Linked DNA regions of Macaca fascicularis. The protein of the gene in region 1 interacts with the protein of each later gene in a pairwise test. Links are inferred from orthologs where the notes say so. Each region holds a gene or a part of one and is shown in the gene's direction. Other genes may lie near its edges. The genes, in order: CREB3, NKG7, UNC50, AQP5, STX8, SLC35H1 and TMEM51.

Region 1 (4,267 bases):
GAAATTAGTTTGTTATCTCTCTGGGTGAAAAGAAGCCCCTGTAACTACACAGGAATAAAGGACTTCCCTACAAAAGAAGGGCATTTACCTACTGCCAACCTCTTAAATTTCATCTGCTCAAGGCCAACTATGCTAGCCTCAATTACAACCCCTAAAGTTGCCCCAAATTCCTAACATTAACCCCACCTCTAATTTGTTTCCTGATTCCCACTACCGGCTTGGACATTCATCCCTTTCCCAGCAGAGACTCATATCCAATCCCTGATCCCTGATACTGATCTAAGTTTTACCTTTAGCACCAAATCGCCTGATGTTAACCCTAAATGTTGACCCCTAAGCCTAAAGTTCATTTGTAACTTGATTCCTAACTCACACTTTCACTGTTTATCCTTAATACCGACCATGTCAACATTCTTTAATCCCTCAAACAGGCTCTAACCTGATTCCTGTTGTTGACCCTTAACCCGACCCTGAACTCAAATTATGACGTATGATGGCCATCCCAGCAAACAAAATAATGACCTTAATCTAAACCTTACCTACCTAAAACGGACCTGACTCACACTACTAACTCTTAAGTTTTAACCCCAGCTTTTAACTCCTATAGCGACCCTTGATTCCTAAACGGACCCCACCTAATCCCCAACTCACCCAAAGCTTTCCTACCCACATGGCCGCTATCAGCTAACACCAAAGCCCGTCCCCGTCCTGCGCCCCGCTGCCACCCGACTCCTCACGCTCCCCAAAGCCTATCCCAGGCAGAGGACTGCCCCCAGGAGAGGCCTGTCTCCCCTAAGACGGCCTACTTCACGATGAGCCCAAGTTGAGATGCGCTGGACGCTGACCTCTCCAACTAACAGAACCCGAACCGGACACGCAGGAGAGGCAGGGCCCCGCCCGCCCCCGGGGCCAGGCTCCGCGGCCCCACCCTAAGGCCCCCGCCCGGCCCGGTCTGGCCTACCTGCGCTGCCCGGCTCTGCGCCCCGCCTGCCGGCCCGCCGGCCCGCTGCCCTGCCGCTTCTCGGGTCGCCCTCGGGCTCCGGCCTCGCCCTCCCTTCGACACTCTCTCGGCCACTTCCGTCCTGGGAACGTCCCCCACCCGCGGGCGGCGCCCTGGGGCAGCGCTCTATGGTCGCGGGGGGCAGGCAGGAAGCTGCTCTGGCCGCGTTCTCGATGCTCGGGGGCCGCCAAAGGCCGGCAGCCCCTCCCTGGCAGGAAGCGAGGGTGCGGCGCAATCCGGAGAGAACGCCAAGACGACGCCCGAGTTCCCTTTCAGGCCAGAACTCTTCCTTTTTCTAGCTTGGGGGAGAAGGCGGAGCCGGAGCCCTGGAACCCCCGCCCTCGGGGTGCGAGGCGGCAGCAGGGCCGTCCCCTACATTTGCATAGCCCCTGGGACGTGGCGCGGCACCCAGGCCTCTTCTCAGTTGGAGGGAACTCCAAGTCCCACAGTGCCACGGGGTGGGGTGCGTCACTTTCGCTGCGTTGGAGGCTGAGGAGAATTGAGCCTGGGAGGCGGGTCCGGAGAGGGCTACGGAAAGCCCCCGGCCGGGAAGCCCGGCCGTAGAGGGACAGTGGATAGGTGCCCGAGGCCTACAGCTGGCCTGGGGCTCGTGTCTGGGCTTCGGACGTTGGGGCCCGGTAGCCCACCCTTTCCGTAGTTGTCCCAAATGGAGCTGGAATTGGACGCTGGTGACCAAGACCTACTGGGCTTCCTGCTAGAGGAAAGTGGAGATTTGAGGACGGCGCCCGATGAGTCCGTGAGGGCCCCACTGGACTGGGAGCTGCCGCTTTCTGAGGTGCGTTGGGGTTCTGACTGGGGAAAGCGTGGGATGTCCATGAGGTCAGGGGATGGTGATAGGTCAAGGCCTGTTCACTGGAACCCTGCGCAGGTACCGAGCGACTGGGAGGTAGATGATTTGCTGAGCTCCCTGCTGAGTCCCCCAGCGTCGTCGTTGAACGTTCTCAGCAACTCCAACCCCTGCCTTGTCCACCATGACCACACCTACTCCCTCCCACGAGAACCTGTCTCTATGGATCTAGGTGAGTCTGAAATAAGTTTGCGGGGAGGACAGGGTTCATGGGCCTGGCTATTCATACGTTCCCTTTTGCAGAGAGTGAGAGCTGTAGAAAAGAGGGGACCCAGATGACTCCACAGCATATGGAGGAGCTGGCAGAGCAGGTACTTGACTTGATTTTCAGGAAGATTACTCTCACATTCCTCAGGTGGGGGCAGGATTCCCCATTCCTCTGTGACATCCCCATGCAACTGCCGCCCACTTTCTGGTTACCCTAGGATATTGTTAGGCTGGTACTGACAGATGAGGAGAAGAGTCTATTGGAGAAGGAGGGGCTTATTCTGCCTGAGACACTTCCTCTCACTAAGGTAAGACTCTCGTTAGTTGAGCAAAGGCTGAAAAGGGATTAAAAGTCTCAAGTAGGCCAATTCTGTTAACTTTATATCAATAACTTTAAAAAAGGATTGAGGTGAGAAACTTAGCAGATTTATTGCTAATAGGAAGTTGAGGCAGGTACCCAATATGCTAGATGCAAGGCAGATCCTCATTTTCGTTGGGCTTACACAAATTTTGGTGTTCTGTTAAAAAACAAACAAAAAAAAACCCTCAAAATTATCAGTGCAACATTAGTATTGGGCCTTGGAAAGGACTGTGTAAGTGAAGGGCCTTGACACTTCATTGGCTTCATAGTAATCCACCTCTTGCTGAATGGTAGAACTGTTTAGAGAGTTCAACACGATTGGACTAAGCAGTACATGAATAAATGCAAAATCCTTAGTTTCCAGTTTTAAGCAATCAGTGGCAACTTCACAAGCAGAGTACTGGGATACTATGATGAAATCAGTGCTCATTAATAGAAAGGTTCCAGGAATTTTTTTTTTTTTTTTTGACAAGGTCTTGTTCTGTTGCACAGGCTGGAGTGCAGTGATGTGATCATGGCACACTGCAGCCTTGAATTTCTGGGCTTAGGTGATTCTCCCACCTCAGCCTCCTGAGTAGCTGAGACTACAGGTGCACACCACCCTGCCCGGCAAATTTTTTTTTTGGTGTTTTTAGTAGAGATGGGGTTTTGCCTTGTTGCCAGGCTGGTCTTGAACGCCTGTGCTCAAGTGATCTACCCACCTTGGCCTCCAAAAGTAAAGAATTTTAATTCCTTCAAAGTACAAGATGAGTCAGCAGTGCGATGTGGCTACTAGGAAAGTTAATGGGATTTGGAAACTGTAGCAAGAGTTATTGTCTCCACAAGTCACTATCTTGCTTTCCTTTATACTGGCTAGAGCACATCTTTGACAGATACTAAGAAGATGCAGTCTATCCTAAGAAGATGAGTTAAAATTTTTGTCTAAGCTGTTTTTTTCTTGAACTTTTTTTCTCTGAGGAAATGTCAAATGCCTGAAAATAGCTTAACAGGGTTCATTCTATTTGGCCCCAGAGATACTAGGTAAGTCCAACGTATAGAAATTATAAGGAGACAGCTGTTGGTTCAGGATAAGGAAGTTTTTGTTTGAAGACAGATTCTTGCTTTACTGCCCAGGTTGGAGAATAGTGGTGAGATCATGGCTCACTACAGCTTTGACCTCTCAGGCTCAAGCGATTGTCCTTCCTCAGCCTCCTGAGGAGCAGGGACCACAGGCATGTGCCACCACACCCGGCTAATTTATTTTTAGTAGAGACAAGGTCTCACTGTGTTGCTCAGGCTGGTCTCAAACTCCTGGGCTCAAGCGGTCCTCCTGCCTTAGCTCCCCAAAGTGTTGGGATTACAGGCATGAGCCATGTCACTTGAATATTGCCTGACCAATTTTTTTTTTTAATAGTTTAAAATGGTCTGGCTTGTTAGGGTTAACACGTGCTCCGTGGAGGCATTCAGAAAGAATGTGAATGCCTATTGGTCAGGGAAGCTGTAGAAGGGATTTCTGTATTGGAAAGAGATGGATCTCAGTTGCCTTTCAACTTCTTGTTCTAGAGTCCCTCTAATGATACCCCTTTCCCTGTTTCCTTTCAGATGGAGGAACAAATTCTGAAACGTGTGCGGAGGAAGATTCGAAATAAAAGATCTGCTCAAGAGAGCCGCAGGAAAAAGAAGGTGTATGTTGGGGGTTTAGAGAGCAGGTATGAAAGGGAGAGGGACTCAGTTTTAAGTGTTAGGTTTTTGAAGGGAGGACACAGGCCATATCCCCATATCTTTGTTATTTCCCCCAGGGTCTTGAAATACACAGCCCAGAATATGGAGCTTCAGAACAAAGTACAGCTTC
Region 2 (3,106 bases), on another chromosome or scaffold:
TAACAAAAGCTGCCTGAGACTTGGTAATTTATAAAGGAAAGAGGTTTATTTGATTCACAGTTCAACATGGCTAGGGAGGCCTCAGGAAACTTACAATCAAGGCAGAAGGCGAAGGGAAAGCAAGGTACCGTCTTCACAGGGTGGCAGGAAGAAGTGCCAAGCGAAGGCAGGAAGAACCCCTTAAAAAACCACCATATCTTGTGAAACCTCACTATCACAAGAACAGCAGGGGGGAACCCGCCCCATGATTCAATTACCTCCACCTGGTCTCTACCTAGACATGTGGGGATTATGGGGATACAATTCAAGATGAGATTTGGGTAGGGACACAAAGCCTAACCATATCACCCTGTTTCACAGAGGCCAAGTTTTCCTGGGTCTTCTACGTGGGCTGTGGTACCTTCACCTTACACCTGCTCACGAGTGAGGTGTTGCCAGGACCTGATGTTGGTGTGGATGGAAGAGGCTAACGTTTCAGGGGCTGGAGAACCCTCGACCGAAATCCTTATGTCTCCCAACACCCCCTAGGCCTCCTGATCCTGGTGACAAAGGCCACCAGGCTGGAGCCCCCACCAAAGCAGAGATGCCACTGAACTCATTATATCAGATGAGGATGTGGGTATGTCTGCCTCTCTGCAAACCTTTCAGAATTGTGATTCTCTGCTGTTTACCTGCCCTCGGCATATGCTCCAAACTGCGGCCCAGGATTCTGAGCTCCCACCCGCCCCTTCCTCCCTCGGGACCTGGAGTTCAGGACCCCAGCTCCTTCCTCCTTAAGCCCCAGGAGTTCTAACTCCCAAGCCCCCTCCTTTAGTAGAGACCCTAGACTTGGGGCCTTCCTCTTCCAAAATGGAAGACTGCAGAACCCACAGGAAAGCATGACACATCGCCAACTGTCCCCTCCAGCCACATCTCCCCTCCCACTTAACGCATACCCCAGCCCGATTGGCTTCCTCCCACCTCAGGGCCCCCAAGCCTCTCTCTCTCTCACCTCTTCCAGGAAGCCCCAACTTGGTGTTGAAGGTTCCAGGGGTGGGAGCTGTAGAACCTGTGACAGAGGCAAGTTCTAAACCACCACCCAAACCACTGATGATCTGACACCCTCAGTGCCCTCCCCCACCACACACTAAGCGGGGAACCGGACCCCGGGGAGGGGAGGGAGGACGTTGCCTGTGCAATCCAGGAAGGGAGGGTATGTGAAAAGCCAGTTACCGGGAACTGTGTGAAACCAAACCAGCCTCATCTGACAAAGCACACGAACCCTCACTGCCCCGACTGCTTGCTGGTCTCTCTTTGTTGAGCTCCAAGGACCCAGGAGTCTGGGTGCACAGCCTCCTTCCCTCTGAGATTCAACAGTCTGATCAGCAGCCTCTTCCTCCTCCAGGACCCAGAAGCCCCGTGCTCACCCCCATGGAGCCCTGCCGGTCCCTGGCCCTGCTTGTGGGCTTCCTGGGCCTGATGTTCTGCCTGATTGCTTTGAGCACCGATTTCTGGTTTGAGGCTGTGGGTCCCAACGACTCAGCTCACTCGGGCCTCTGGCCAACGGGGCATGGGGACATCATAGCAGGTAAGGGGAATGGGTGTCCTGCGGAGGGGTTGCCAGTGGGGATGGGTGTTCAGTGGTCTTCTCTCGATCAGGCTACATTCATGTGACGCAGAGCTTCAGCATTCTGGCTGTCCTGTGGGGCCTGGTGTGCGTGAGCTTCCTGGTCCTGTCCTGCATCCCCTCACTGTCCACCCCAGGCCACGGCCCCCTTGTCTCAACCATCACAGCCTTTGCTGCAGGTAAGGACTCTGGACTGGACTGGGGCATCGGGAGTCAGTGAATTCCTGCCGAAGGGTTGAGCTATCTCTCTTGTCCTTGCCCCCAGCCCTCTCCATGGCAGTGGCCATGGCGGTGTACACCAGCGAGCGGTGGGACGAGCCTCCACACCCCCAGATCCAGGCCTCCTTCTCCTGGTCCTTCTACCTGGGCTGGCTCTCAGCTATCCTCTTGCTCTGCACAGGTGACTATCCTGTCCACTGCCCTGGGGAGCTTGGGAGGGCCAATAGGGGGCCCTGAGGATGAAGGGCAGGGGCAAGTGCTTAAACTCTTTCTGGCCTCCCAGGTGCCCTGAGCCTGGGTGCTCACTGCGGCAGCCCCCGGCCTGGCTATGAAACCTTGTGAGCAGAAGGCAAGAGCGGCAAGATGAGTTTTGAGCGTTGTGTTCCAAAGGCCTCATCTGGAGCCTCCGGAAAGTCTGGTCCTACATCCGCCCCACCCTTTCAGCCCTTCCCCAGCCCCTCCGCTTGTTTCTTCATTCATTCAACAAAATTTGGCTGGAATCTGGCTATTCTGAGATTAATTCTGCCAAGACCTAAGCCAACCGTCTGCCAGCTCCATGGTAGGAGCTGAGCACCAAGAGAAGGTGACAGCCCACGAGGCCGACCAGCCTGCAGGGCGCTCCTGCCCAGCACAACTGCCTGGCCTGTGTGGATACAGGCTCCAACCTGGGTCTATCTCTCCCCTTCTCCAGCACTTTTCTTTCTCCCTTTAGCTGGCTCTCTTTCCTTCTCTTTCCCTCTCTGATTTTGTACCCCTTGCCAAAACTCAGCCCTTCTTTGCACGCAGTCTCTCTCAGTTCTTTTTGCACATTTCCCCATGCTGGGGACACTAGCACGGGTCAGACCCAGGACCTGCCTGCCAGGGCCTCAGTCTGTGGGGTGGTGGGGAGGAGGCACTTACAGACCAGAAGCAGTTAATACAGGCCAGACAGCAGTCCCAGTGCAGGGAGAACACCAGAAAAAGACTAACCATATTGTGGAGGGATGGAGATGACTTTTCTGGAGAGAGAATGTTTAGGGGCTTCTTAAGGGCCAAGGAAAGGTAATATCCAGGCAGAGGGGCCTGAAGATGAACGTGCAGAAAAGTCAGGAGTCTTGTGGGAATGAAGAACGGTAATGTATGGCCAGGATATAGAATGTTGGGGGCAGGAGATGGAAAATGAAAAGGGAGAGGCAGGTGGGGGTTATGGCCTCTAATGTCATGCTGGATTTTCTCTTGAGCATGATGGGAAGTTGGGAAAAAATTGGAGGCAGAGGAGGGACAATATCAGCTCTGGGTACC
Region 3 (4,163 bases), on another chromosome or scaffold:
CAGGAGCTGGCTGAATGGCAGCACCAGTGAATACGGGGCAGAGGGGACACAGCCCCGGACAGGGGAGCCTGAAAACAGCGGTACCTCAGTTTCCTCATTTATATAAGGAAGTTGGGCGAGATAATCTCTTAAATTTATAATAACTCAAGTTTTACTAGACCTTGGGAGGCGAGAATGGCCGACTGCTAAAATCAGTGAACCAAACATAAAATTGTGACTCGGCAGAAACACTAATACGGCCCTATAGTGGATGTCCATTTGGGGGTAATCTTTTCTCTGAAATAACAGCAACTTTCTGGAACTACATCTCCCAATGCAAAGATAACCGCACACAATTGAATGCCCTCTGGTCGGGCCTCTGTAACTGGAAAAGGCACTTGTGGTTTATTTGAGCTCTAAAACCAGAACCCAGGTCCACTCTGAACCTCACTACATGCCTCAGTGCATTCCGAGAGGGTGCTGAGGAGACCTGTGTCTGTAGTAGGGGAGTAAAGTAAGAGCGTAGGGGAAGCAAGATACCAAATCGTGAAAACATGGAGTTGCTTTATTTTTACAACTTAACATCCAAGAATGCAGAGAACTGTAACTCAGAAACAAATTCATATCAACACAAGGCAAACTGAGCACACATTCAGTCACAACTGAACGGGCAGGGGACACGACTGGCCAGGGCAGTGTACCAGGTTTACACAACTCTCTGGAATCATTAATTCTGCAGATCATCATTTCTAGGCAGGCAAGAAACCCGGCTTATTCTCCTTTATGTCTCCAGAACCCGGCAGAGTGCTAGCATGCAATACACGCTTCGTGAACTGAAATGGGTTAATCTTTGCAAAAACCCGACAGGGTGGGTTTATCGTTATCTCCGATTTAACCCCACGGGGAACTAGCTCAGCGGATCTGCGCACGTTCAGTGAGCCCAAGCTGTGACCTCCGCCCGGGATGGTTAACTCCAACCGCCGCCGCGGGCGACCCGCTGCCCTCCGCCGAGCCGGGCCTCCCCGGGGCAGGCGTCGTCACCACCGGGAGCGCCCGGCCGCGCTACCTGGACCACACAGTCCGACTGCAGCAGACACTCGCCCAGGTCCTCCTTCAGGCCTCCGCACGCGCCGCTCTCCAGCTTGTCCTCGTAATACTTGGGCATGACGGCGCTTCCCGTCCGCTGCGGACTCTACTTTCTTCCACTGCAACGGTGGCGACCGGATCGGGAGCAAGCGAGGCCCCAGTCTCAGCGGGCCGGAAGCCAGCGGCAATAACTTCCGGCGGGCCGCGGCTGTCGGGCCGAGGACTACAGGGCCGAGAGGTGGCGCGTGCGCGACGGAAGTGGGTGCGCGTGACGGGGCGCGCCGGAAGCGCCGGCTACGTTGCGGGAAGGGAAGCCCGCCCTGTGGCGGCTGGGCTCGGCTGCTGGGAGGAGGTGGTGAGCTGGTTCGGACGCGGTTCGAGGCTGTAGCAGGATTCCAGGTGAGGCCTGAGGACCGCTCTGTCCTCCCGCAGCCCGGGTTCGCGCCGGGGGCCATTTAATCCCGACAGCTTGCGACCTGATATCACTGCGGCCTGACAGTGACCATGTCGGCGTCCGGCCCCGCGGCCGGCGATAGAGTTGCGGATAAAATGAAAGGACGCCCAGTTACCTTTGCATCATAGATAAAGAGCATTTAGTATTAGCATGTCCGAAATGTTGCGTGGGATGTAGGCGTACTAAAACCTTATTCGTGGCCTGTCTGAACTCCACACGGAGCTGGGCATTCTGTTTTTATTTGCTAAACCTGGCGGCCGTATCCGCGGCCCCGGGCAGGGAGGGAGCAGCTGGGCCCGGTCAGGCGCTGCCGGCGTCCCGGGGGCCTGCGAAGTGCAGGGGAGACGGGCAGCCGGGCAGTGGCCGGCGCTCCCCGGAGCTCGGACCGGTTGGACTGGACTCCGACGCTACCGCTCCCTCTGGTGACCTATTCCGGATGTAAAACACTAGGGATCGGAGTTTTGCTTGGTTTTTAATCTCATTCTAGTGACCGAGGAGCTTGCTGGCAGTGCGCTGATGGATCTATGTGAATAGGCCATTTGTTTTACCTTTTCGGTAACACTGTTCTAACCGGCTGAAACATTGCTTTCTTAGTTATTTTCTTAAAAGCTTGGTGGTTAAGAGCACGGAATTTCGAGTCAGATTTGGAATCTTGGCTCTATCACTCTTCTTGGAGTCATGGGGCTGTCACATCATCCCCGTCTCTGTGATGGTAGCTGCCCCTGGATATGTGTTATTAAGTGATTGAGAAGGGTGAGCTGTTGCCCTTGCCTGAGGTTGCAGGCTGCGGTTCCCAAGCCCCAAGCCCCGCCTCAGAACCAACTGCATTTGCTTTTGACTCCTGGCCTTTCTCTAGGGTTGGGAAGAACATGGAAAGTGACCTCCCTGCCAAGTAACTCAGAAGAGGGGTGCCCGTAGCCAAAAGTTTCTTCAGCATACGTGTAAAAGAAATGTTTTTCTTCCATCTAGGAAGATGTTACCGAGTACTTCAGTGAATTCCTCAGTGCAGGGGAACGGAGTCTTGAATTCCAGGGATGCAGCAAGACACACAGCCGGAGCGAAACGCTACAAATATCTGAGAAGGCTTTTCCGCTTTCGGCAGATGGACTTTGAATTTGCTGCCTGGCAGATGCTCTACCTGTTCACATCCCCACAGAGAGTTTACAGAAATTTTCATTATCGAAAACAGACGAAGGACCAGTGGGCCAGAGATGACCCTGCTTTCTTGGTCCTGTTAAGTGTCTGGCTCTGTGGTAAGTGTGTGTGTCTGAGACAGAATTGAACGCTTAGCGTTTCTGATTAGACTTTTTATTTGTTATAAATGTGTTGTGGGTCAGAATCTGGAAATATTGGAAACTATTTCTCCTTTTTACTGAAGCCTCAAAAATCTCACAGGAAAGAAAGTCGTAGTCTTGGTTCTACAGGTCCCAAGCAGATACCAGAGTAAACTGTTACCCTAGGACATTGAAAAGCAGGGGACGAAATTCACTCCATATCTTTTCAACTACTGTGAACCAGTATGCAGCTGACTGTGAAAAGGAATATGAAACTGGAAATTGCATTTCAGTCAGGCAAATCCAGAGTGAGAATTGTAAAAGTATTGATGTGAACCTGAGAAACTGAAGTTCTCCAATTCCATAATGCAAGGGTCTCATTTACCTGTAGGGTGTTGAGGTGGGTAAGATATTGAAGTTTACAGGGTGTTTTGCACCTTAACTGGACTTAAGGTATGTTAGTGCCTTCTCTAGACTGGCGTTCTAAATACTGAGGCCACCGTGGTGAATCAGCCTGGCAGGGGCCCACCTCAGGAAACTTCCAACTCTCTCAGTGGCCACGCTTTGTTCCAAGGTGGTGTTCACACATCTTGGGAGTTTTGTGTACAGACCTGTCTCTCCCACTAGCCTGGGCATCTGGAGGGCAAGGGATGTGTTCTGTATTTCCAGAACCTAGCCGAGTCCCTAAATGAATCTTGTGAATCTTTCTTTCAGTGTCCACTATAGGATTTGGCTTTGTGCTGGACATGGGATTCTTTGAGACAATAAAGCTTCTCCTTTGGGTTGTATTCATAGATTGTGTAGGCGTTGGTCTTCTGATAGCAACTTTAATGTGGTAAGTACCATAACTTTGGTTTTTCAGATACTGTTGTAGCATCTCCATTTGTTTGCTTCAGAGCTACAATGGCAGCAGATGGAAATTGAAACCAAGGTAGAGTCACTGAATGATCGATTTTGACTGCCAAGATTATTACAATTTGCCCTCCTGTGTTGCCACCTAGATCAGAAAATAAAGACTGGTTTATATTGTCAAATATAGCAAATAATTGAAATAATTATGTTTTGAACCCAAAATATCTGAGATAGGTCTCAATTTAGAAAGTTTAGTTTGCCAAGTTTAAGGACACGCCGGTGACACAGCCTCAGGAGGTCCTGAGGACATGTGCCCAAGGTGGTCGGGGCACAGCTTGCTCTTACACATTTTAAGGAGACTTGAGATATCAGTCACCATGTGTAAGAAGTACATTGTTAGCCGGGCACGGTGGCTCAAGCCTGTAATCCCAGCACTTTGGGAGGCCGAGACGGGCGAATCACGAGGTCAGGAGATCGAAACCATCCTGGCTAACACAGTGAAACCCCGTCTCTACTAA
Region 4 (3,926 bases), on another chromosome or scaffold:
TGAGAAAGAGACCTACGGAGAGAGACCGGAAGAGGCTGGCAGAGGTAGAGGAACAGAGACTAAAGACAGAGACAAAAAGAGAAACAGGATTTTGCAAAGACTGACTGGCAGAAACAGATTTCGAGGGGAGAGAGACCAACACCAAGTGAGGGTTTGAAGGAGACCGAGGGGAGGTGGAGGAAGAGAAGGAGAGTCTTAGATCCGGGGTGAGGGGCTTCTAGCAGGAAGAGGGGAGACGCCAAGACCGCGCTTGGGAGGTCAGTGGTGCGCCTCTACCCTCCCTGCTCTCCCACTCCCATAGTCTCAAGGCCTCGCCTCACACCCCCCTCCCGTCAAGACGACAAGGGGAACCCGGCCTGGGAGAGGGCGCCTCCAGGGGTCCATTGCCTAGTGTAGGTACTGCCCAGCTACCGGGCGTCGAGGATTGCAAAGCATCGGGGCAGGCTGGCACGGTGCCCACTTTTCCCAAAACGCCAGCCTTCCAAGCCCAGAAGCTCGCCCGGCCCAGGCCGGGAGCGGCCCACGACGGCCGGCCGGACCGCCCTGCAGGACCCAGCCCGGCCGCCCGCCCCCGCCGCCGGCAGTGAGGGAGGTGAGCGGCGCCGACCTGCGGGACGAGCATCACTCCGACCCAGCCGGGGGTAAGGCGGGTCAGGATGCTCCGGTCGCAGGAGGAAAAGGAGGAGCTGGACCAAAAGCCCGAAGAGAAGAAAAGGGGAAACCCGCGCGCGGAGCGCGGTAAAGGCCGGCGGAGCTAGACGCCCTGAGGTAGGAGCTAAGCGCCGGGACCGAGCCCCGTCTCCCAGGGAGTCCGGAGCGCACGGCACCGAGGAGCGCGGGAGCCAACCTGGGCGCATCATGCGCGGGGTCCGGGACACGGGGCCCGTCTACACCGCCGCCTGGGTCACGTGGCCCGGACGGGCAGGCGGCTGCCCGGCCCGGGGGGCGGGGGTCGCGCCGAGGTTGCGCTGGGCGGCGGGGAGCGGCGGGCCCGCGGCTGCCGGGAGCCTCCCAACCCGTGCGCAGCGCTGGCCCCTGAGCGTGGGAGCCGCCCCCTCCCCCCCCGCGCCGGCCCCGCGCCCGGCCCCCCGCCCCCTATATAGCGCGCCCCAGCAGGGCCCGCGCCAGGCCGCCAGCCTCGCAGTGGGTGCGGGACAGAGCGCGGCGCCACCCAGCCAGGCCCCCGTCCCCGCCGCCTCCACCTCGTCAGCCGCCTGCGACCCAACGGGCGCCCCCCGCCGCGGCCGCCGCCGCCGGGCCCCCGCGGCCACCATGAAGAAGGAGGTGTGCTCCGTGGCCTTCCTCAAGGCTGTGTTCGCCGAGTTCTTGGCCACCCTCATCTTCGTCTTCTTCGGCCTGGGCTCGGCCCTCAAGTGGCCGTCGGCGCTGCCCACCATCCTGCAGATCGCGCTGGCCTTTGGCCTGGCCATAGGCACGCTGGCCCAGGCCCTGGGACCCGTGAGCGGCGGCCACATCAACCCTGCCATCACCCTGGCCCTCTTGGTGGGCAACCAGATCTCGCTGCTCCGGGCTTTCTTCTACGTGGCGGCCCAGCTGGTGGGCGCCATTGCCGGGGCCGGCATTCTCTACGGTGTGGCACCGCTCAATGCCCGGGGCAATCTGGCCATCAACGCGGTGAGTGCCCTGGGGGGATGGGAGTCGCGACCCTGAGGTGGGCTCAGGACCAGGCCTCTTACCTCACCTGGAAAAAGGGGTGTCATAGAGTGGTCCAGCCCACACCCTTCACCAGGAAGGCAAGAGCCTCCAGAGGCCAGGAAGGCGACTCTCCAGGCTGATGTGCGCCCCCTTCCTGCCCACCTCCTCTGCCCCCCACCACATGCTGGCCCACCCTGGTCTCTCTCCAATGCCTGCTGCCCCTCCTTTCCTGCCAGAAACTTCTGCCGCCTCCTGTCTCACCTTTGAGCCCCACCTTCCTCCTGGGCCCCTCACCTCTCCCATCTCCTCAGGGGAGCGTTTGAGTAGAACCACCAGAGAGAAGCGGGCTGTCATCCCGGCTTTGGGTGACCCTGGCCTGTCTGTGCTTCATTGTTCTCAGCCCCTCCATGGGGATGGTAGTGCCTGCCACAGCAGGTGTCAAGGGGCTCACATTTAGAAACCACAGATAGGAACCCCCTAACGTGGTGCCAGTGCAGAGCAGTCTCCGTTGAGTATTGGTTTCCGCTTTCCCCAACCTGTGCTCCTCCCCGCAACCCCACATCCCTGCCTCCCTCCCATCTCCTGCAGCCCCAGAGTCAGCCCCCAACCCCATGCAAACTGGGTTCATTAATCAAACACAGAGAAGGATTTGCTTGGCCATTGTCAAGCCGTGAGTCAGCCGCACTGGAGAGACGGGTTTAAGGTTGGCACTGGCATGGGGCCAGACACGGGCAGGAGGCGGGGATGGGGTGTGAAGCAGGCAAACCGGGCAGCTGCCCACAGGATGGAGGGTAAATGCCAGCTTATGGGGGCTGGGGGTTGGGCAGAGCCATTGATAGGACCATGTCCAGGAAAAGCTCCCCTGAAACTCTGCCCTTTGGCTACAGGCCTGAGCTTCAAGCCTGTGCAAACTGTGAAATGTAGTGTCTTTAACAAATGATTTCGCTGGGGTGATGTCCACGGGGCTTGGCTTCCAGGTGTCAAGCTGCTCTAAGTGTCCCTGAATGCCAAAAGCCCTGCTCCCAGAGCCCCTGGCTATACTGCCAGAAGGTGGCCAGGCTCCTAACCCGCCATCCCCTTGCAGCTCAACAACAACACAACGCAGGGCCAGGCCATGGTGGTGGAGCTGATTCTGACCTTCCAGCTGGCACTCTGCATCTTCGCCTCCACTGACTCCCGTCGCACCAGCCCTGTGGGCTCCCCAGCCCTGTCCATTGGCCTGTCTGTCACCCTGGGCCACCTTGTCGGGGTGAGCAGTACTGACACTGGGCTGTGGTGAGGGTGGGGCAGGCACTCAAGGCAAATAATGGAGCCCCAGAGCGGAGCCCACTTCAGATTGATGAGTCCAGCAGAGTTTAAGACCTGGATTTAGGGCTGCTGGACTCTGGCCCTACTGGGCCCCAGAATTGATCCCCCCAGAACCTCTGGGCTGAGGAAAGATGGGAGTAAGTAGGAGGTGGGATGGGACAGGAATCAAACCCAACCTCAGAGCAGAGAAGAGAAGAGGGCAGCGTTAAGGGTCCATGGTTAACCGGGCAGCTGGGATCCTTGGAGGGAGGGGTTGCCAGCCCAGCAATCAGGAGACCTGAGTTTGAGACCTGGCTGAGCCCCTGGACTGCAGTGTAACCTTGGGAGAGTCCAGGTTCTGTGGGAGTGGACTGGGATGTTGCCTTTCTCTCCACCGCCCTGTCTCTATCCAGATCTACTTCACTGGCTGCTCCATGAACCCAGCACGTTCTTTTGGCCCTGCAGTGGTCATGAATCGGTTCAGCCCCGCTCACTGGGTGAGTCTGTCCCCTCCCCTGGCTCCCTGGAGATGAGGGCCTGGAGACCCAGCAGTGGCAGCTCAGAGCTCACCACAGAATCTTCTGGATTCTGTGGGCCCAGAGCTTGGGGGTGGGCCAGGGAGCGGTGGCTGAGAGAGAAAGGGGATGGGATTCAGCCACAGGGGCAGAGATGGCTTTGTATGGCCTGAACCCCTGGGGACAGGGAGTATAAGTATCTGTCCCCTTAGGGAAGAGGCTGGAGGTGCAGGGGGGCTCTGTGTCAATTCCTTTGAGGATTTGGTGTCTGTCGCTCTGGGTGTCTGTGTGCTGGTCCTCTCTGATGTTTTATTTATCTGTCCCTGTTGAGGGGGTTGGGAGAGTCTTCCTGTGGGTCTGTCCCTGTGGACAGTCTGTCTGCCCCCTCCTTTGAGAGCTCATGGTCACTCTCTCCAGGGTCTGTTTCTATCCCTATGTGGAGGGGAGAGGTGCTCTGTTCATCTCTCC
Region 5 (3,500 bases), on another chromosome or scaffold:
CACCTCAAGGTGGAGAAGTCCCCGGAATGTTTGGTGGAAAAGCCGTGAGCTAGGGTAGAAAGACCTGGGCTCTCACCTAGCATTGCTGTTAACCCATGCAAGTGACTTAGCCATGCTGGTCCTTAATTTTCTGGTCAGCAAAACAAGAGAATTGGGATTAAGGCCTCTTCTAGCATCTACTGTGTGGGTTTCCGTCCTTTGGTTACTCATCGACAAAACATCATCATCAAGTTTTACTGTTTCTGAAACTGATGTTCTTTGTTTAAATCTGTAACTAGTATCTGCTGATTTTAAAATGTACCTTTATTGTTTTTATTACAAAGCGTATTATACTTTCTACTGATACATTTCTCATTAGTTGTTCCCAGTGACTCCTCTTTCTCTTCCTTATTCTTTTCTGTCTCATCTCATTCTTCATAGTTAAGTGTTGATGGTTGGTAGCTAGTGTCTCAGGCTTTTCTAGGCTGGAAATATATGCATATGTAAATAAGAAATTCTTTTGACTATAAAGGGATTGTATTATACATATGGTTCTGAAGCTTGTGTTTTTATTGATTAGCAGATGATAGAGACAAACATTAGGAAACAATATTCAGTGAAACATCAGTCTCCCTTATACCCTTAATCCCTAGTTGTCTTTCCTTAGAGGCAATGTTTATATATCAGAAATGTTCTGTGTATATATACACACGTATACAGATACGATTTTTTTTTTTTTTTTTAACAAAGTGGGAGCATACTGTTCACTGTTTAGCTCCTTGCTGCTGCTGTTGTTTTTCCTCTTTTGGTTTAATGTTATATTTTGTAGATTACTCCATGTCAAATAATTCATGTAAACACTTAGTAAGTGCTCAGAAATGTTAATTATCATTATCAGCCCCCTAAGCAGCTTTCCTATTCTTGGTTTAAGGCTACAAAACATTCCATTGTACAGATACACTAGTTACTTACTGATATTTCCAGTGTGGCTATTATAAATAATAGTTCAGTGGACATCCTTGCTTCTAAGTCCTTGTATGACTGTATCTGCAGGAGAAATGTCTGTTGAAAGACTGTACCTTTTACATTTTGTTAGGTATTTAGAAGGCAGTTTAGCAGTTGGTTGAACCTGTTTGCATTACTATCAAGAATATATGAGGCAGCCGGGCGTGTGGTGGCTCCCGCCTGTAATCCCAGCACTTTGGGAGGCCGCGGTGGGTGGATCACTTGAGGTCAGGAGTTCGAGACCAGCCTGGACAACATGGGGAAATCCCATGTCTACTGAAAATACAAAAATTAGCTGGGCATGGTGGCGTGCGCATGTAAGCCCAGCTACTTGGGAGGCTGAGGCAGGAGAATCGCTTAAACTCCAGAGCTGGAGGTTGTGGTGAGCCAAGATCATGCCACTGCACTCCAGACTGGGTGACAGGGAGACACTGTCTCAAATAAAAAAAAAAAAAAAACGGAAAAAAGAAAAAAGGAATGTATGAGGTCAGGTGAAGTGGCTCATGCCTGTAATCCCAGCACTTTGGGAGGCTGAGGCGAGCGGATCATGAGGTCAAAAGATCGAGACCATCCTGACAAACATGGTGAAACCCCGTCTGTACTAAAAATACAAAAATTAGCTGGGCATGGTAGTGGGAGCCTGTAGTCCCAGCTACTCGGGAGGCTGAGACAGGAGAATCGCTTCAACCCTGGAGGCGGAGGTTGCAGTGAGCCGACATCACGCCACTGCACCACTCCAACCTGGAGACAGAGTGAGAATCCATCTCCAAAAAAAAAAAAAAGTAAACACTTTTGTACTTTTGTAGTTTGCATCAAGAAAGCTAGTATGTAAAACTTTGTACTTAGTCCAAGGGTAGCGGTGCCGGTTGTTGACAGACGCCACTTCCCTTTTTGCTTCATGCGCGCCTCTGCGCACGCGCCGCACTCTCGTCCACCTATTGGTGAATTGTAGGTTTCTTTGCGAAGACTACATTTCCCAGAAGGATGGTTTTTGGTTTTAACCACCACTTATGAACTGTTGTGGAAAAGATGTTAGAGATTATCTAGTGTTACATATAAAGAGAGAGAGATCCAAAAAGGTGAAATAACTGGTTCAAGAGCATAGATAATGGTAAGAATAGGGCTACAACTCTGCCTTTGGGGCTCCTGGTCTAGCATGTTTGCTAGAATCACACATTAAAATTATTCTCTTTATAATTTTCTTTACAGATCATGCAATGTATTTAAATAGTGAACTGATGGTAACAATTTATAGAGCAAATCTGGTGCATAAAGTAGCACTTTATAAATATTCTAGGTGTGTTAATAGATATTAACATGGAAGAAAGAGAACAATATAGAGAATTTCTCTCCCCCAGCGCTCCCAGTTTTTTAAACAGAGCATCTTAGGGTATTAATATGTAGGAAAACGCCCTGCAACACTGACACATATAACTCAAAACCTAAGGAATCACTGAGCCAGGTTGCACCACTGGCAGGAAAAGTCATTTAAATTTGGTCACTGGGACTGGGCATGGTGGCTCATGCCTGTAATCCCAGCACTTTGGGAGGCCAAGGCAGGCAGATCACCTGAGGTCATGAGTTCAAGACCAGCCTGGCCAACACAGCAAAACCCTGTCTCTAATAAAAATACAAAATACAAAACTTAGCTGGGTGTGGTGTTGCATGTCTGTAAGCCCAGCTGTTGGGGAGGCTGAGGCAGGAGAACTGCTTGAACCCGGGAGGCAGAGGTTGCAGTGGGCCGAGATCGCATCATTGCATTCCAGCCTGGGTGACAGAGCGAGACTCTGTCTCAAAAATAAATAGTTTGGTCACGGGGAGCAAAGTAATATTTACCTGGTATGTTTCTCAGTGAAAGAACTTGTGTCGTGATCCATATCAGTGTTTGTAAGTCCCTCTGTGATGGTCCTGCCAAGGTCCTTTACCTGATGACCTGATGAAGGTGAAAGTCAGAGTAGGAAAACCACAGGAGTGAAATGGTGAGCATCCCTTCTGGGTAGTAGTGATTACAGTCTGTAAAAGCCACAACTGACTTGAAGAGCTAACTTAATAATGTAATAGTTAACACGAGGTCATTTATTCACCATTGGACCTTAACAAGATGTCCGCAGAACACAGCTTGAAGGGGACCGAAGACAGAACCTGTTGGATGATCTTGTAACTCGGGAGAGACTACTTCTGGCATCCTTTAAGAATGAGGGTGCCGAACCAGATCTAATCAGGTAGGATGTTTTCATTTACAGGGATTACTTGGTGGGCGAAGACTTCTTTGCAAATATTACAGCTATTTCCTGAATGCCTTACTTTAGGCATTAAATCAATCAAAATCTATTCTATTCATTTATGGTGCTGGACTATAATATTCTACTCAATTTAGTTTTCGTTAATTTTCTAGGTTTAGGAAACCAGGTATGTTCAGCTGAATCCCATCTTGGGTGGAACATACTAAGGGAGACTGTGGGTGAAGTCAGAACATGTCTTTGGCATTCTTTGGTTGAATTTTCTGCTTTGTTAAC
Region 6 (4,172 bases), on another chromosome or scaffold:
TAAGGCATACTGTACACCCCCATGAACACATCCTCCCTCTTCTCCCTGCCAGGGACACAGCCAGGGAACAGCTCGAGTACTTGTGCCTTACAAAGAAGACATGCCCTTTACCCTGTGTGTTGCCTGTGCTTAGTGCCCAGCCTTCCAGCTGGTGTTTTAGGCTGTTGCTGCAAACCTTGGCCTTGGTAGCTGGGAGACTTGAATGAGGGTGGTGATGAAAATGGATACTTTCTCTTGCCCCTAAGAGAGAAGGGTGTGAGGACAAGCTATTTCAAAAGGCATAGAAAGTGTATGCAATACAAGCCTTGAGGACTGAATAAAGCCAAGACCTTGGGCAGTGATGGGTACCATTGTAGGTGCTTGGTAAGCACTGAATGAACTATGCCTGCATGATGCCAGCTGGCGGCGGTGACAGCAGCAGTTTGCACAAAACACTTACACTCTGGCCTTGAGCCTTCTGTTCAGAGAGGCCAGGGATCCCAGCTGAGTCACTTGTAAGGAGCCATGTTTGCAGCTGGTCTTACTGCCGGAGAGCCCAGGAGGCGGCTAGAGGAGGGCAAAAGGCACAAAACTGGGTCTGAATGTGCAACCCTAGCTTGCCCTGGCCCAATGTTCTCCTTGACTGTAAATGCTGCCCTTTTAATCCATCCCGCAAGATGAAGAAAATATGAACGCCCTAGGCTGGCATTTTGGGGCCACTGCAACCTGCCTCTTGACTACTTTAACCACCACAGTTATAAACAACCTGAGCCCCAGGCACGGCTGGAGGCTTCTCACCCTCTTTTAGGATTCTGCCATTTCCTCTTTCTGGGATGCTCTCCCCCTACTCAACCTATTGAAGTTGAGATAATTCTTAGAAAGTTTCATACAGAAAATATTTCACAAATGTTTCGTATTACTTCTGGATCGCCTAAGTTTTAAGTTGTAACGGCCCCAGCCGGCCTGAGCTCCCAGAAGAAAAAGCCCATGAGATACTTATCTTCGTGGTTCATTCCATGGTTGCCTAGCACTAGACTGGACATAAGAAAAACAATTTGTTCAGTAAAAGTAAACAAGTGACCATTTTTTGGATGCCCACTGTATGCAGAACACTAGCAGGTACCAGGGTTCCAAAGCAAGCCCCTGATTGAGCGCAGGAGAGACGCAATCACACTGCTGTGCTCTGAGCCTGAGAGACTCCGCGGAGGACAAAACTGCGCTGTACCCCAGAAGGACCCGACCACCTCAGAACCGGACCACAGCAGACGCCCCGCCCCTGTGCTGCCCCGCCCCGCCCCCGTGCTGCCTTTTCGCCCCGGCTCCGCCCAGCCCCTGGGTAGCTTCCGGCGGAAGTTACCGCCCCTGCCGCGGTTCGGCGGTGGCATCCGGCCTCGCACTTCCGGTGGGAAGATTCCGGCCGGGAGCTCACCAGGCCGAGGTGAGTGTGTGCGCGGCAGGCCTCCCGGCGCACTCCCAGGGGCTGGGGGGCCGGGGCTGGAGACGGGAAGCGGGCGCCCCGCCCGGGTTCTGCGCGGGTTGGCATGGGGCACGCCACGCCCCTGCCCCTCCCCGGGCCTTAGTTTCGCCGTCTGTGGAGGGGGCAGGGGTCTCCAAGCGCTCTCCTGCCGTGCTTCTGCCCGACGCCGGCTCATCTGGTATTTCTTGAGCACGTGCGACGTGCTGGGGTGCGGGACCCAGGCCGGAATCGGACACGGCTCTGCCTTCTGAGAGGCTGCTTCCCGCGGTGGGATTGGGGCGGGCAGTAAACACGTGAGCAAACAAGGAAACGTCAGAGGTGGGAAGTGCCACGAGGATTGGGAGGGGTGGGGCATTGGGGAAAGTATTCAGCCCAGCGGAGGTCTGCGGAAGTGTACTGAAGACATAAAGAACAGCAAGTAAAGAAATACGCAGGCTTGATGTGTTTGACACGTGGCAGGGGGCCGCTGTGGCGGGTGCTGGGGCCAGTGGCAGAAGAATGAGGTTGCAGAGGCCTTCCTTGTGGACCAGGCTGAGGAGCTGGGCTTAGCCTTAGGGCATGGTCTATTCTGTGTGCTTAGGCCATCTCTCTGGCTGCTTTATAGTTTCCAGGCCTTAGAGGCGAAAGTGGAAACAGGGAGACCAGCTAGACGAGTGGCAGTCAGCAGACTGTGGTAGTGGGAATGGAGAGGAAGAGAAGTAGAGGGGTCAAGAAGTGTATTGAAGGTGGAACTGACAGGGCAGGATTTGAGAAATGACGGAAATAAGTGGCCAAAGATGATTTCATCATAGATTTTTGGTTTTGGCTTAAGTAACCGAGTGTATTATGCTGGCATTTACTAAATGACTCTGGGATAGATTGGGAGCGTGAGAAATAATTATGAAATCTTTTTAGGGCATCTTAAGTTTTAGATATTTGGAGTGCAGCTACCAAATAGGCAGTTAGATAATACTAGTCTGATGCAGAAAAGGTCAGGGCTGATGTAAAGAATTTAGAAATCATTGGCAAGTGGATTGGGTAGGATAAGATTATATAGGGTAAGATTTGAGAGAGAAGAGAAGCCAGGTTCCAAGCTTTAGGCACCCAATTTTTATAGATTGAGTTGACAAGAAGGTGCCAGCAAAAAAGGCCAAGAAAGAGTACAGAAAAGCAGAAGAAAAACCAGGAGAGTGTGGTATCGTAGCACCTAAGAGAAGATTTTTTCTAGGAGAAGGAAGTGATCCATTGTGTAAGATAAGAATAGAGACTAAGCCGGTGGGCGAGGTGGCTCACGCTTGTAATTGCAGCACTTTGGGAGGCCAAGGTGAGTGGATCACCTGAGGTCGGGAGTTCAAGACCAGCCTGACCAACATGGAGAAACCCCGTCTCCAACTAAAAATACAAAATTAGCCAGGCGTGGTGGCACATGCCTGTAATCCCAGCTACTCAGGAGACTGAGGCAGGTGAATCACTTGAACCTGGAAGGTGGAGGTTGTGGTGAGCTGAGATCGTGCCATTGCACTCCAGCCTGGGCAACAAAGAATGAAACTCCATCTCAAAAAAAAAAAAGAATAGAGACTACGCCTTTGAAGGGGCAGCAGAGAGGAGGGTGTGGTGACTCAGTGGAGCAGTAGAGATGGGCTGAAGTGAGGGCAGGGAGTGCATGAGTGGGGCTGGCAGTGCGAGGCCTTCTGGGGAAGTTTCACTCTTAAGGGGACCAGGAGGGGAGTAAGCCTCTATCATGAGCCAGCATTTAATGCTGTACCTGATGCCACTTTACAGTTGGAAAAACTGAGTCCAGTGGTCAAGTAACTTAGGGTCACAGGGACACCAGGATTTGATTATCAGTCTCTAACTCCAAAGCCCACACTCTTAAGCGCTAAACCATGCTGCCCAAGTTACAGTTAGAAAGATTGAGGGAAGCAGGTGCGACAGTGATGCACCAGCCAGCCTTACCTTGATGTGACTGCTGCCTCCAGCTAAGCTGCTCTCTGTGGAAAGTGGGGCAGAATATGGACTTTGTTTCCTGAGCAAATGAGATTTCAAAAAGAGGATTTACTCCTTTAAATCTTGTTTCCCTTATAAAATAAGGGTGGGGACCTTCAGTTTCATGTCTGTGTCTCCAGTGGTAGGCCTACAGGAGCGCTTAATAAATGCCCATTAAGTGCCTAGATGATCTCCAAGGACCCTTCTAGCTGAGATTTGGCTTTGTGTCTGTGCACAGGTGACCTTCTGAATCCCAATAAGAAAATGAGTTAACTTTGAGACGTGCTTCTTGTAGGCGGGGTAGCCATAGGGGCTTCTTGGAGGCAAGGGACCTGGGCCAGGTCTGTGAAGGAAAGTCAGCATTGAACCTCTTTTTTATTACAAATATTTTGTAACAGTCCCTTTTATTACCCTAAAATGAAACATATGATTAATAAAAACAGCCTACACATAATTTTTGAAAAATCAACAATGCGACCGGGCATGGTGGCTCACACCTGTAATCCCAGCACTTTGGGAGGCCAAGGTGGGCGGATCTCCTGAGGTTGGGAGTTCGAGACCAGCCTGACCAACATGGAGAAACCCCGTCTGTACTAAAAATATAAAAAATTAGCTGGGCGTGGTGGCGCATGCCTGTAATCCTAGCTGCTTGGGAGCCTGAGGCAGGAGAATGTCTTGAACCTGGGAGGCGGAGATTGCAGTGAGCCGAGATTGCACCATTGCACTCCAGCCTGGGCTTCAAGAGCAAAAC
Region 7 (3,946 bases), on another chromosome or scaffold:
GCCTGGGCCTCAGCTTTGGCTGAGAATTTCGTCAGCCACTCCCCAGATCAGCCAGGGTGAGCCTGCTTAAATGGAACACTTTGAAGATGATATCCTGTGATACACAAGACCTGCCCAGTTGGGTCTGCAGCAGAGTGGGGCGGGTCTGGGATGATCCTGGCATGGAAAAGTACAGCAGCTCTTTGCCTTCAGATTAGGAGCTGGGACTGCAGTTCTGACATTATCACCCTCCTGCCCCCACCCCAGGCCTCTCCAAAGTCCGTCTTGCAGAGTCAAATGAAAACCAGATTCCTGGTCTTATCTGAGAGCTACGTGACTGTTTCCTGTCACTCCTTTGGAGCCTGGGAAGGTCCCCACATGCATTGTCTAAACTTTAGGATGAACACACACAGCTCTTAAATGGGAGCGTATTATTATAAGTACATGCCTACACAAAGGGTTCTCCCCATTCACTAAAATCATGGGTTATTATTTGGGGCTTTCATTCATCCAACAAATATTCATTCAGCATTTGCAGGTGGCCAGGCAAGGTGAAACTTCTCCCAGCGTGGAGAGTATGTGCAGACAGTATGAATTATGCTATGGGAGGGAGAGCAGAAGCTCTGGAGTGGACCAACCTAGGTCTAGATCCTGACACTTCCCAGCCGTGTTTTCATTGGGCAAAATGACCTCACCTCCTTCAGCCTCAGCTTTCTCTTCCATAAAGTGGGCATGACCAATAACCACCTCCCAGGTTGTGAGGATTAAATGAGATGGTTCAGGGGATGTCGGTGGTAACCCCGTGCGTGGTTCATAGTAAGTAGGTGAGGAATAGCAGTTGCTGTTATAGACATGGAGACTGTTTCCCCAAATGTCTTCCCACCCCCAAATCATAAGGCAGATCCAAACTTGCCTTTTTGTGGACGCCAAGGTTCTGTTGAGCTGTTAGGGTGCAAGTTAAGGAGCCAGAATAGCGGGGTGGGGGGAGAAATGCCCACATGTTTCCACTCTGCAGGTATACACACGTGGACACCATATGTACCCATGAATTCCGCCTTTGGAAGTGAACTTGATTGCAGCCTATTTTCGTCTGGAGGCGGTGGATTCCCGGTAGGAGGCGCCTTCGGTCCTCGGCTCGATCCTGTGACGCCCGCCAGCTGCCTATCTGCTTCTCAGTGTTTGAACTCCAAAGGGCTAGACGCTCACCCAAGAAGGGGACCCCGGCCTGACCTCTCTCGGAATTCAAAAAAATCTAAGGTTGAGCGAGGGAATGGGAGCTGGCTCTTCCCTCTGTGTTTAGAATCCACGTTTTTTGGCGGTCTGGCTGAAACCAGCCCACCCTAGTTCGGGCGCCAGAGCAATGCGGTTCCGAGGGCAAATCTCCAAGGGGCGGAGGCAGAACCGCGGGTAAGAGGCGTCCGCGCAGACTTCGGGTTTGCCCTCCCCGGAGCCAGGACTCGGCGGCAGCTCTGGGCCTCCATGGATCCGAACAGAGACTGGCTGCCCGTCTGCCACTCGCGGGCTGGGAGAACGCCAGCCGGTGCCTTGCCGGGAAAGTTCTCGGCAAAGCTGGGGATGAGCCCTCAGCAGGGGAAGCTCCCGGTGGAGCGCGCCCCCATCCAGTGCCCGCGCGCAAGAACCCGAAATGGGCCCCACCTGGACGGGGACTCAGGCGTGCGAGCCCGAGAGCTCCCTGGGGACCAGGCATCAGGTGGGGACCCTGGACGAGGGGGTGAGCTGACTCGGTTTTTAAAAACTTGCTTCCTCCTTCCCTACTTCTGCCCATCACTCACCTCGCTGGGCACCAGCCCAGGGCAGAAGTGGGAGAAGGAGGCGGTGGCCTCCCCAGGAAGGAGGAGAGGTGAGTGTCTCGCCAGGTAAAGGCTGGCGGAGCTGTGCCTCGGCGTCTGCACCTGGTGTGGGACGGAAGCGGGTCTCCCAGCTCTACTTAAATCCCTAAAACCTGGGACTTCTGGCTTGAGACATTCCCCGACCACCACCCGTCACACACACGCGCGCACACACACACGCATGCACACCGATTATCTGGGCCCTAGGGAGGATGGGGGAGCAGGGCTCTATTTTCTCCCGGCCCCATCTTATCCAACTCGGCTGGCAAGGGTGGGGAAGAACTTAGGCCCAGCCCCCGGCCCGCACTCAGCGTACTCCAGCGGCGGACGCTGGGGAGTGGGTGCCCGCCCTGCTCAGCTGCGATCCCTCGCCTCGGGCCCGGGGGTGGCGCCGAGGGCCGGGAGGTAGGGTCGGCCGGTGGGCGGTGCTTCTCGGGGCTGGAGGCTGCTCCCGGCCGGCGCCGCCCTCCTCCTCCCGCGGTCCCTCCCTCCCTCACGCCGGCGCTCCCAGGCCGCGCTTCCTGCGTCCCCATCGCGGTCCCCGAGAGGGCAGTTCGCTCTCTCCGCCACCGCGTTCCCTCGGCTGAGAATCCTCCGAATCCCAGCCCCGCGATCGCGGCGCCCCCCGAGGAGGCCGCCCGGGTGGGGCGCGGGGGTCGCGAAGCCCCCAGCCCCGGGCCGCCCAGCCGAGACGGAGCCGGACCCGCCGCCTCCCGGGTGAGTCTGAGCCGCCGCGCCTTGCGCCCGCCGCTTCCCGCGGAGCGCTGTGCGTTCCCCTCCGGGCCGGGTAAGGGGGCCGAGGCCCGTCTGGGTCGCCTGTCCGTCCGTCCGTCCGTCCGTCCGCCGAGTGCTTCCCGTCTGGGGTCGACCACCTGGAGGACTCCGCACCCCGCACCCTCTGCGACCGCGCCCCGCCGGTGCGGGACACTCCCGCCTCCCGGGCACCGCGCCCGGCCAGCTGGCCTCGGCTGGTGAAGGCAGCTGGCCTTGGGGGCCCCCTGTTGGCGGGGACAGGTGCTCTCCGCCCGGCGGGCTTCGAACCCTTGGCCTCGTCAGAAGCGCTTTCAGCGCGTGGTTAGGAGCAGAAATTCCTAGTAGGTCCCAGGAAACCACCTTGGCGCTTTGCTCGCGCATCCCTTACTGTATGGAAGTCGGGTCCTTTTAGGGATTTAGATTCGTGTGTGTGTGCGTGTGTGTGTGTGTGTGTGTGTGTCGCTCTACAAGCAAACACGGGGGTAAAGAATCTGGCGTGAGCAAAGTGGATTTAAAGTCCTTCCCTGAGCGCATCGATCGCTTTCTTCATCTGTGAAATGGACATGATAACGTCCCAGGGTGCGGCGGGGCATTCATGCCGAGCACCCAGCAAGCACTCCGCGGTAAGTTCGGTTACGCATAAATCTGATCTCAAATCAGCGCACAAACGGGAGGCGGTTGGCCCGGCGTGCCAGGTCTGCATTACAGGATAATGGTCTCTTTCCCAACCAGGGGTGGGGGCGAGAGACCTGACCCTTCCCCCCACGGTTTCCCCAGGGATCAGCCCTGGGGTGCCCTGCGCAGCGTTCCGAGGTGCCTGTGACGGTGCGTGGTACTGCAGGTCCTTCCCAACAGAGCTGGAGGTCTGGCTGCTGGGAACCCGGGCGCTGCCGGAGTGGTGTGGCGGGGACGAGGTGGGCGGGGCCGGGACCCGAACCGGCGGAGGTGGGTCAGCGGGTGGAAGGATTGCCCCTCTAGGGCCTGCCGGCTTCTGGCTTTCCTTTTGAATGGGTTACCTGGAGAACAGCTTGTCTAGGGAACTTTTGGCCCTGGAACCGTGAACAGCTTTCACACCCCGGAAACCTGTCGCAGGAGGGTCCTGACCTATTGGGACAGAGCCCCTGTCCCTTCAAATATCTCACTCCACCAATTGACAGGTACCCCCAGACTAGGAGAAAAGGCCAAAGAAAGAGAAAGAGAGGAGGCTGCTGGTGAATCTGCTCCTCATGGCTTCGGAGCTGACAGCTCCCTGTTCGGGTATCTGCCTCCCTGTTCGGGTATCTGCCTCCCTGTTCGGGTATCTGGGGTCTGCCCCACTGATCCAGAGCCCAGGAGTCTCAGGGAGCCCCTAGCCGAGGGAGGAA

What was found.
Region 2: the proteins of CREB3 (region 1) and NKG7 interact in a two-hybrid assay, tested with the Homo sapiens proteins (2 studies listed by BioGRID and IntAct). The two-hybrid records come from large-scale screens. The link is inferred for Macaca fascicularis from reciprocal best matches to the Homo sapiens genes CREB3 and NKG7.
Region 3: the proteins of CREB3 (region 1) and UNC50 interact in a two-hybrid assay, tested with the Homo sapiens proteins (2 studies listed by BioGRID and IntAct). The two-hybrid records come from large-scale screens. The link is inferred for Macaca fascicularis from reciprocal best matches to the Homo sapiens genes CREB3 and UNC50.
Region 4: the proteins of CREB3 (region 1) and AQP5 interact in a two-hybrid assay, tested with the Homo sapiens proteins (2 studies listed by BioGRID and IntAct). The two-hybrid records come from large-scale screens. The link is inferred for Macaca fascicularis from reciprocal best matches to the Homo sapiens genes CREB3 and AQP5.
Region 5: the proteins of CREB3 (region 1) and STX8 interact in a two-hybrid assay, tested with the Homo sapiens proteins (3 studies listed by BioGRID and IntAct). The two-hybrid records come from large-scale screens. The link is inferred for Macaca fascicularis from reciprocal best matches to the Homo sapiens genes CREB3 and STX8.
Region 6: the proteins of CREB3 (region 1) and SLC35H1 interact in a two-hybrid assay, tested with the Homo sapiens proteins (2 studies listed by BioGRID and IntAct). The link is inferred for Macaca fascicularis from reciprocal best matches to the Homo sapiens genes CREB3 and SLC35H1.
Region 7: the proteins of CREB3 (region 1) and TMEM51 interact in a two-hybrid assay, tested with the Homo sapiens proteins (2 studies listed by BioGRID and IntAct). The two-hybrid records come from large-scale screens. The link is inferred for Macaca fascicularis from reciprocal best matches to the Homo sapiens genes CREB3 and TMEM51.

The regions. Positions count from the first base shown.
Region 1 is NC_088389.1:63,665,254-63,669,520, reverse strand, and holds the start of CREB3 (cyclic AMP-responsive element-binding protein 3), read left to right. Parts: upstream 1-1,467; 5' UTR 1,468-1,667; coding exon 1,668-1,796; intron 1,797-1,889; coding exon 1,890-2,040; intron 2,041-2,111; coding exon 2,112-2,179; intron 2,180-2,293; coding exon 2,294-2,383; intron 2,384-4,017; coding exon 4,018-4,124; intron 4,125-4,214; coding exon 4,215-4,267. UniProt on the Homo sapiens protein: Endoplasmic reticulum (ER)-bound sequence-specific transcription factor that directly binds DNA and activates transcription. Plays a role in the unfolded protein response (UPR), promoting cell survival versus ER stress-induced apoptotic cell death.
Region 2 is NC_088393.1:59,178,279-59,181,384, reverse strand, and holds NKG7 (protein NKG7), read left to right. Parts: upstream 1-1,224; 5' UTR 1,225-1,410; coding exon 1,411-1,567; intron 1,568-1,638; coding exon 1,639-1,785; intron 1,786-1,871; coding exon 1,872-2,006; intron 2,007-2,108; coding exon 2,109-2,167; 3' UTR 2,168-2,606; downstream 2,607-3,106.
Region 3 is NC_088387.1:3,060,404-3,064,566, forward strand, and holds the start of UNC50 (protein unc-50 homolog), read left to right. Parts: upstream 1-1,363; 5' UTR 1,364-1,464; intron 1,465-2,488; 5' UTR 2,489-2,492; coding exon 2,493-2,772; intron 2,773-3,507; coding exon 3,508-3,628; intron 3,629-4,163. Other genes in the region: COA5 (cytochrome c oxidase assembly factor 5), read right to left, coding at 1,046-1,144. UniProt on the Homo sapiens protein: Involved in the cell surface expression of neuronal nicotinic receptors. Binds RNA.
Region 4 is NC_088385.1:56,790,383-56,794,308, forward strand, and holds the start of AQP5 (aquaporin-5), read left to right. Parts: upstream 1-1,126; 5' UTR 1,127-1,272; coding exon 1,273-1,635; intron 1,636-2,740; coding exon 2,741-2,905; intron 2,906-3,356; coding exon 3,357-3,440; intron 3,441-3,926. UniProt on the Homo sapiens protein: Aquaporins form homotetrameric transmembrane channels, with each monomer independently mediating water transport across the plasma membrane along its osmotic gradient. Plays an important role in fluid secretion in salivary glands.
Region 5 is NC_088390.1:9,633,452-9,636,951, reverse strand, and holds part of STX8 (syntaxin-8), read left to right. Parts: intron 1-3,095; coding exon 3,096-3,206; intron 3,207-3,500. UniProt on the Homo sapiens protein: Vesicle trafficking protein that functions in the early secretory pathway, possibly by mediating retrograde transport from cis-Golgi membranes to the ER.
Region 6 is NC_088384.1:102,412,422-102,416,593, reverse strand, and holds the start of SLC35H1 (solute carrier family 35 member C2), read left to right. Parts: upstream 1-1,372; 5' UTR 1,373-1,874; intron 1,875-4,172.
Region 7 is NC_088375.1:220,127,676-220,131,621, reverse strand, and holds the start of TMEM51 (transmembrane protein 51), read left to right. Parts: upstream 1-1,146; 5' UTR 1,147-1,386; intron 1,387-1,416; exon of another isoform or gene 1,417-1,458; coding exon of another isoform or gene 1,459-1,711; intron 1,712-2,354; exon of another isoform or gene 2,355-2,546; intron 2,547-3,853; exon of another isoform or gene 3,854-3,946.